2 linked regions of the Oryctolagus cuniculus genome follow. The protein of the gene in region 1 interacts with the protein of each later gene in a pairwise test. Links are inferred from orthologs where the notes say so. Each region holds a gene or a part of one and is shown in the gene's direction. Other genes may lie near its edges.

Region 1 (3,746 bases):
CTAACAAGTTACACATCTCTCCTACAACCCAGACATTCCATCCCTAGGAATTCACCCTAGAAAACATGAAAGCACGTGTCTACACAAAGACTGCAGGAATGTTCACAGCAGCTTTGTCTGTAAGCCAAAACTACCCAAATGTCCGTCAACAGTGAATTGACAAATTGGAGTTCTGCAATATTAACAAGGGCAGACTTCATAAAGTTCATGGAAAGTGGAATTAAAACAAGTTTATTGGGGCCGGTGCTGTGGTGTAGCAGGTTGAGTCGCCACCTGTGACAGGAGCATTCCATGTGGGCGCTGGTTTGAGCCCCGCTCCAGCTCCTGCTAACACGCCTGGGAAAGCCGCAGAGATGGCCAAAGTGCCTGGTCCCCTGCCACCCATGTGGGAGACCTGGATGGAGCTCCAGGTTCCTGGCTTTGACCTGGCAGCTGTTGGAGCCATCTGGGTTGTGAACCAGTGGATCCAAGATCAATCGCTGTCTCTGCCTCTCAGTCTCTGTTACTCTGCCTTTCAAATAAAGATATAAATCTTTTTAAAAATTAAGTTTATTTTGGTGCAAAAGAATACTAACTGCATAACAGTTTCTTATAACGTGCATTTTCCATGAACTTTATGAAGCTCCCTCTAGTGGATGTGTATGGTCTATTCACATGAAAGAAACGCAGGTGTGGGGCCTCGGACAGTCGGGCAGAAGGGAACTGGAGGGCGGGGTGTCCCAGGGCAGCCCTGTGTCAACACTTAGCAAACTGTGTATTTAAAACCTGTGCAGTTTATTGTCTGTCAATCACATCTGACTACAGAGGTTTGTTTTTTCAAGTTGGATGATGCGCGCCCGGGGTCTTAGCATCACCCCAAACCTTGTCACTTGCATGCGGAGTGTCTCTGTGGGCGAGGAAAGTGCTGGAAGGGAGCCCAGCGGAGCCCAGCCCGCTGTTAATCATTACCAGGGGGCGGCCCGAGCGCGGCCCCGCCCCAGGGCGGCCACAGAGCGCCCGACCGCTCGCTAGCTCGCTAGCTGGGCCGCCACCTGCTGCTGCCCGCCCGCCTGCGCCGCGACATGGTGAGCGGAGGGACCGCCGCGACCGCGCGCGGGGACGCGGTGCGGGTAGGGGAGGGTCCCCCAAGCCCCTGGCAGGGCCACAACGGCCGGGCTCGGAAAACTGGGGTCTCCGCCCTAGTCCCGAATGCAGGCGGTGCCCAGGGAGAAGCTGAGGCCAGCAGAGGGGCGGCGACCCGGGCCTACCGCCCATTCCCAGGCCCTGCTCGTCCGCCGGCGACGCGCGCGCGCTGCAGTGGCGCCTGCGCTTTCCACGGGCACAGGCGGCGGCGGAGGCGGGGAGGCTGAATGGGTGAATGGTCTGGCCGCTGTCCCTTCTCGCTCGCCTGCTGTGCGCCTGGCCTGAGGCCTGTGCCCAGCGGCAGGGGGGCGGCGGCGGGCTGGGGTGGAATGGGGTGGGGAACCCGAGGCCGAGCTGTGCGGCGGGGCCGGGGGTGTCTCCCTCCACCCTACGCAGTTTCTCCACAGCTAGACCTGGAAGCTGCACCAAGCAGTGCATTCCTGGCCCAGAGGGCTCGGGGAGGGAACGTGAGTCCCCAGAGATGCAGACCTGGGTGATCAGTAACCCCTCCACACACTCCGCTAAGCCTGCCGGGTGATCGGCAAACAAGGCCGCTACCCGCAACTGCATCCCAGAGTCCCAGGTAGTACCACTTGGAGGGCTCTAGCAGGCTCTAAAGAGGAAGGGGGCTCATGGATGTCCACCCACCCCTTTCAGCACCAAGAAAACGTATCGATGCCTTGGCTGAAGGTTGATGCTGGAAACACGGACCTAGCTGCAGCCACTGGGAATGGGCAGCTGGACAGGAGGCTGCTCTCTGGGTGGGCGATGCAGGCGTGTGCAGCGTCTCTGCTGCCACCTGGAGCCCACGGGAGAGGGACCAAGCCCCACAGGTCTAGAGAGCACAGGTCTTCAGCATAAGAATCCTGCAGCCCTGTGACCACCCCAATGCTGCAAGCCCCCCAACACACACACACACACTGCTTACTTGCCCAAGGAAATATTTTTTAAAGATTTATTACTTGAAAGTCAGAGTTACAGAGACAGAGGAGAGACAGAGGTCTTCCATCTGGTGTTTCACTCCCCATGCAGCAGCAAGGGCCAGGACTGCGCCAGGCAAAAGTTAGGAGCTTCATCTGAGGTCTCCCACGTGGGTGCAGGGGCCCAAGAACCTGGGCCATCTTCCACTGCTTTCCCAGGTACATTAGAAAGGAGCTGGATCAGAAGTGGAGCAGCTGGGACTCATACCAGCATCTATAAGGGACGCCAACATTGCAGGTGGCAGCTCTGCATACTACTCCACAATGCCGGCCTCAGAAAGTATTTTTTTCAAATGCGGGTGGCATTGCCTAACAACAGTGCAGTTTACTGAACTGTATCTCACACCTCTGGAGCCTCCTGTCCCTTTAGTCATGAAGCCAGAAGAGGTGACTGCCATATTGCCACATGGCTGGTAAATGGTGGAACCGGGGCTTGCACCTGCCCCACCCACTCAAGCCAGGTCATCCATTCTGTTGGCTGCCTTCCTTCCATCCACACCTAAGTGCTGGGCTCTCAGTCTAGCCCTCCATCCATTTCTGCCCCTGGCACGACTCTGGGCTCCCTTAAGCTCCCACACCCAGACCCTCCTAGGGCACAAACTGACCCCAAACTGACCCTTGCTCCCTTGTCTTCTCTGAGGTTCCACTCATGGCCTGAACAGTGCCAATGTGGGCCGCCTGGAGGGCACTTTGCACAATAGGTAAATAGGACGGGGCATTGGATTGGCCAGTTGTCCTTGGCCAGGTTACTTCTGCTCTGGGGACTGGGCCCGGGGAGCCGTGTCCCAAGCTTCAAGAGAAAGCACGTAGCAAATCTGAGACCTAGGCCTGGCAGCTTGGGCCCAGAGGCCACATGGTACCGTGGTGCAGTGTGGCTAAGTTCCTGGAAGTTGGGTCCAGCCTCGGACACTGGCACACAGACCACACTTTGACAAGGCTGCCTGTGCCATCACTGGGCTGGGGGTGACGGGAGCAGTGCCCAAGTGATCTCCCCTCTCTAGGCCCCGGTTTCCTCTTTAGCACACCTTAGGGTTCTGGGGAGGGCGTGGGCTACACAGGATGGTACTAGAGGGAGGCAGGCTGGATCGGGGGAGTACTTCCTTCCTGAGCGGTTGTGCTGGGATTCATTTGCATGGGACAGAATTTTGCTTTTCCTTTCTCATTAAAGTGATGACTCTGAGTTTGGGAGGTGGGGGTGGCTGGGATGCAAATTATACTTCCTTTGGGATTTTCTTTCTCTGAGTGTATTAGACCTGAGAACCTATCAGTGAACAAGCCTCACTCTGCCTCCTGGGCAGGTGCCACCTTGGAGACATCCCAGCCTGTGGCCTAGAGCCCAGCTGCCCTTGGGTCATGCACATCCAGGGCAGCCAGTGGAGGCAGGCTAAAGGCCCTCAGAGGGGGGCAGCATTGTGCAGCAGTAGGTTAAGCTGCTGCTTACATCCCATAGCTGAGTGCTGGTTCAAGTCCCTGCTGCTCAGCTTCTGATCCAAGTCCCTGCTAATGCGCCTGGGAAAGTAGCAGGTGATGGCCCAAGTGATGGCCTTGCCACCCACATGGGCGGCTCGGATGGAATTCCAGACTCCTGGCTCCGGCACGGCCCAGCCTCAGCTGCTGCAGCCATCTGGGGAATGAAACAGCGAA
Region 2 (3,746 bases), on another chromosome or scaffold:
ATATGGGCGCCGGTTCAAGTCCCGACTGCTCCACTTCCGACCCAGCTCTCTGCTGGTGGCCTGGGAAAGCAGTGGAAGATGGCCAAGTGCTTGGGTCCCTGCACCCGCGTGGGAGACCCAGAAGAAGCTCCTGGCTCCTGGCTTTGGATCAGTGTAGCTCCAGCCGTTGTGGTCATTTGGGGAGTGAACCAGCTGATGGAAGACCTCTCTCTCTCTCTCTGCGTAACTCTGCCTTTCAAATACATAAATAAATCTTAAAAATAAAAGAAGAAGGAAAGAAAGCCAGACGAGAGAAAGGGCTTTGTGCCTTTGCAGAGTCCAGCTCTCGAGAGGCGGAGCAGGCTGGGTCTGGACGGTGGCCTGGGCCAGGGTCTCTGCTGTGCTCCCGGGGTGGGAGGGCTGAGCCCGGCCCACTGACGTCCCTGCGGGAGCCACAGCCCCACCCGAGCCCCCGGCCTTTCCTGCAGCCCCGCTGGGGCGGGCAACACAGCCCTGTGCAGACGCAGGGAACCCACGTGCTGCTGCTCCCGGGGCAGTGCGGGCTGGGACACACACACACACCACACACACACACACACATACACACCACACACACACCATGCACCACACACACCACACACACCACACACACCACACACACCACACACACACACACACACACACACACCATGCACCACACACACCACACACACCACACACACACACACACACACACACCACACACACACACACACACATACCACACACACCACACACACACACCGTGCACCACACATACCACACACACACACCACACACACACACACACACCACACACACACACCACACACACACACACACCACACACACACACCACACACACACCACACACACACACACACCACACACACACACCACACACACACACACACCACACACACACACCACATATACACACACACACCGTGCACCACACATACCACACACACACACCACACACACACACACACACCACACACACACACACCTCGCGGGCTTCTGGGGGCTTCCAGTGGCATGCGGGAGAGAAACAGGTGGGGCTGTGGTGGGGCTCCGCCCAGAGCAAACAGAGTCCCGGTGGCTGTGCAAACACAGGGGTACAAATGGGCCCGGCGGCGGGTGCTGGCACTCCTGCGTGCCCACAGCCGGAGCGGTTACCATGGGGATCCGAGCGCTCTGGCTGCTGCTGCTCATCCTGGCCTTGGGGTCCTCGGGCTCTGTCGGGGAGGACCTGGGCCTGTGTGAGTACTGGCTCCTGGGGAGGTGGGCCAGCACCGGGCAGGCGGGCGGGGTCCAGGCCGAGGGCGCCATCCTGGGCTCAGAGCAGCGCAGGCGGACACGCCGTCCTCTGTTTCGTCTGCGCCGCTGGGCACAGGCGGGCTTTCTCTTGCAAAAGCCCTGCCAGGAACCTGAGGCCCAGGGCAAGGCAGGGCTGAGCGCAGGCTGCGGGGCTCGCCCTGCCCCGCCCCTGCCCAGCGCCGTCCTACCAGGGGTTTCTGGATGAATTTTTGATCTGGCGCAATTGCAAACCAGGAAAGGCAGGAGAGAAACCAACCTCCCAGAACACTTTTACATTTTTTAAAGATTTATTTATTTATTTGAAAGAGTTGCACAGAGAGAGAGAGAGAGAGAGAGAGAGAGAGAGAGAGAGAATCTCAACCGCAACAGCCAGGGCTGGGTTAGGAGCTTCCTCCGGGTCTCGCAGGTGGGTGCAGAGGCCCGAGCGCTTGGGCCATCCTCCACTGCCCTCCCAGGCGCATTAGCGGGGAGCTGGGTCTGAAGTGGAGCAGCCGGGGTTCCAGCCGTACCCATGTGGGATGCCAGCGCTGCAGCTGACGGCTTAGCACACTGCAAACACCGTCCAGGAGGCCTCCTTTTAGGCGTTATGTGGGAAGCCCCTCTCGTGGGGACAGAGCCATCACCTGCAAAGTGGAGCAAGCAGAGGCTGGTGCTGTGGCCCAGCGGGTGAAGCTGCAGCTGTGGAGCCTGTTCCAGTCCCGGCTGCTCCACTCCTGCTCCAGCTCTCTGCTGTGGCCTGGGAAAGCCCCGGAGGATGGGCCAAGTGCTCGGCCCCTGCACCCACGTGAGAAACACAGAAGAAGCTCCTGGCTCCTGGCTTCAGATGGGTCCAGCCCCAGCTGTGGGGGCTGCTTAGGGAGTGAGCCAATGCATGGATACGCTCTCTCTGCCTCTTCTGTAACTCTGCCTTTCAAATAAAAAAAAATGAAGCAAGAACACGCCAGCAGGGGCTCTGGCAGCTAACTGGGCTTTGTCTGGGGCAGCGGCCAGCCAGTGCGTCATCCCGGCCCAAGAAAGGGTGGACTGCGGCTACCCCCAGGTCACCGAGGAGGAGTGCAAGAGCAGGGGCTGCTGCTTTGACTCCAGCATCTTCGGGGTGCCCTGGTGCTTCAAGCCCCTGCAGGACACAGGTGAGCCCCAGCGCGGCCCCGCGTGCAGACCCAGGTCCCCAGACAGCTGCCCACGGGCCTGGGTCCTCAGCGCCGTCCACTGGAGGAGGCCTCCCAGTGCCGTCCACGCCCAGGGAAGCCGCGGCTGGTGGCTGTCCCCTTTCTGATTCATGTCGAAGCCATAGCTTCACAGACGTGCTCTGAGCGAAGGCTTCAGGTGGAGGGGCCCGGGGTAACAGGTGTCCCAGGACGGGGTGGGGGGCACGGAAGCCTGGCTGCTGGGAGACGGCAGCAGTGGCTGAGCCGGGCAGCAGCCCTGGAGCTGCCCCACCGTGATGGTGTGGCTCTCCCCTCCCGCGGTGCTGCAGGCCGAGCAGGGCAGCGCCCCTGGGGACCCCTCCTGGGAGGGGTAGTGGGCCCCGGCCCCTCCCACCCACTCTGGGCGTGGCTGACGGCCCTCAGCCAGGTGCCATGCCCACGGAGGACGTTCCCAGGGGGACAACTCTGGCCGTCAGCACCGCGAGGGGCCACTCTTGGCCTTTGTGCCGGGATAACAGTGAGAGGCCGAGTCCCAGGTCACCCCGATCCCAGGCACTGAGGGTGGCCCCAGCCCCTGCGCCCTGCCAACAACTCCGGGGAGAAGGCAAGAGACGAGGTTGCCTCTTCCCCGGCTGTCCCCTGCCTCCTGCCGTCCCTGCTGGGACCCCCTTCTCCCCTGAGCACTGGCTGGTGGCCCCGCCCTCTGTCACCTGCACTGACCACCTGCGTCCAGGGACCTCAGTAGCCCCTGAGGTGGGTTGCGAGGCCACCCGCTAGGAGCTCACCACTTCCCCGGGGACCTGGGGGCGCGCGCCCCAGCTCTAGGCATGGTCTGGGCGCCTGCGCTGCTGGAGGAGCTGTGCACGGAGCCGAGCCGCTCACCACACTGTCTCCGTGCTCCTTCCAGAATGCACGTTTTGAAGCGCAGCTGCGGCCTGCCGGGTCCCCGGGTGTGAGGCCCCTCCCGCCCTGCTCACCCCGCTTCTCTCTCCCCGCCTCCTGCCTGCTGCGATCGCCAAACCTAATGCCTGGAGCCTGATGTCTAGAGAATAAAGAACCCGTGCCCGGCACGGACCCTTCATCACCCCGCCAGTTCCCTTTCTTCCTCGGCACTCGGGGGCAAGGAGGGGGAGGGGCTTCCGCTGCCCGGGGGAGGGGCAAGGAGGGCGGGAGGGGCTTCCGCTGCGCGGGGGAGGGGCAAGGAGGGCGGGAGGGGCTTCCGCTGCCCGGGGGAGGGGCTTCCACTGCCCGGGGGAGGGGCAAGGAGGGCGGGAGGGGCTT

What was found.
Region 2: the proteins of PCBD1 (region 1) and TFF3 interact in binary tests that used the Homo sapiens proteins (3 or more experiments, as listed by UniProt). The two-hybrid records come from large-scale screens. The link is inferred for Oryctolagus cuniculus from reciprocal best matches to the Homo sapiens genes PCBD1 and TFF3.

Annotation. Positions count from the first base shown.
Region 1 is NC_091446.1:62,317,286-62,321,031, reverse strand, and holds the start of PCBD1 (pterin-4-alpha-carbinolamine dehydratase), read left to right. Parts: upstream 1-929; 5' UTR 930-1,061; coding exon 1,062-1,064; intron 1,065-3,746. UniProt on the Homo sapiens protein: Involved in tetrahydrobiopterin biosynthesis. Seems to both prevent the formation of 7-pterins and accelerate the formation of quinonoid-BH2. Coactivator for HNF1A-dependent transcription.
Region 2 is NC_091435.1:3,229,039-3,232,784, forward strand, and holds TFF3 (trefoil factor 3), read left to right. Parts: upstream 1-1,146; 5' UTR 1,147-1,177; coding exon 1,178-1,259; intron 1,260-2,300; coding exon 2,301-2,447; intron 2,448-3,372; coding exon 3,373-3,386; 3' UTR 3,387-3,549; downstream 3,550-3,746. UniProt on the Homo sapiens protein: Involved in the maintenance and repair of the intestinal mucosa. Promotes the mobility of epithelial cells in healing processes (motogen).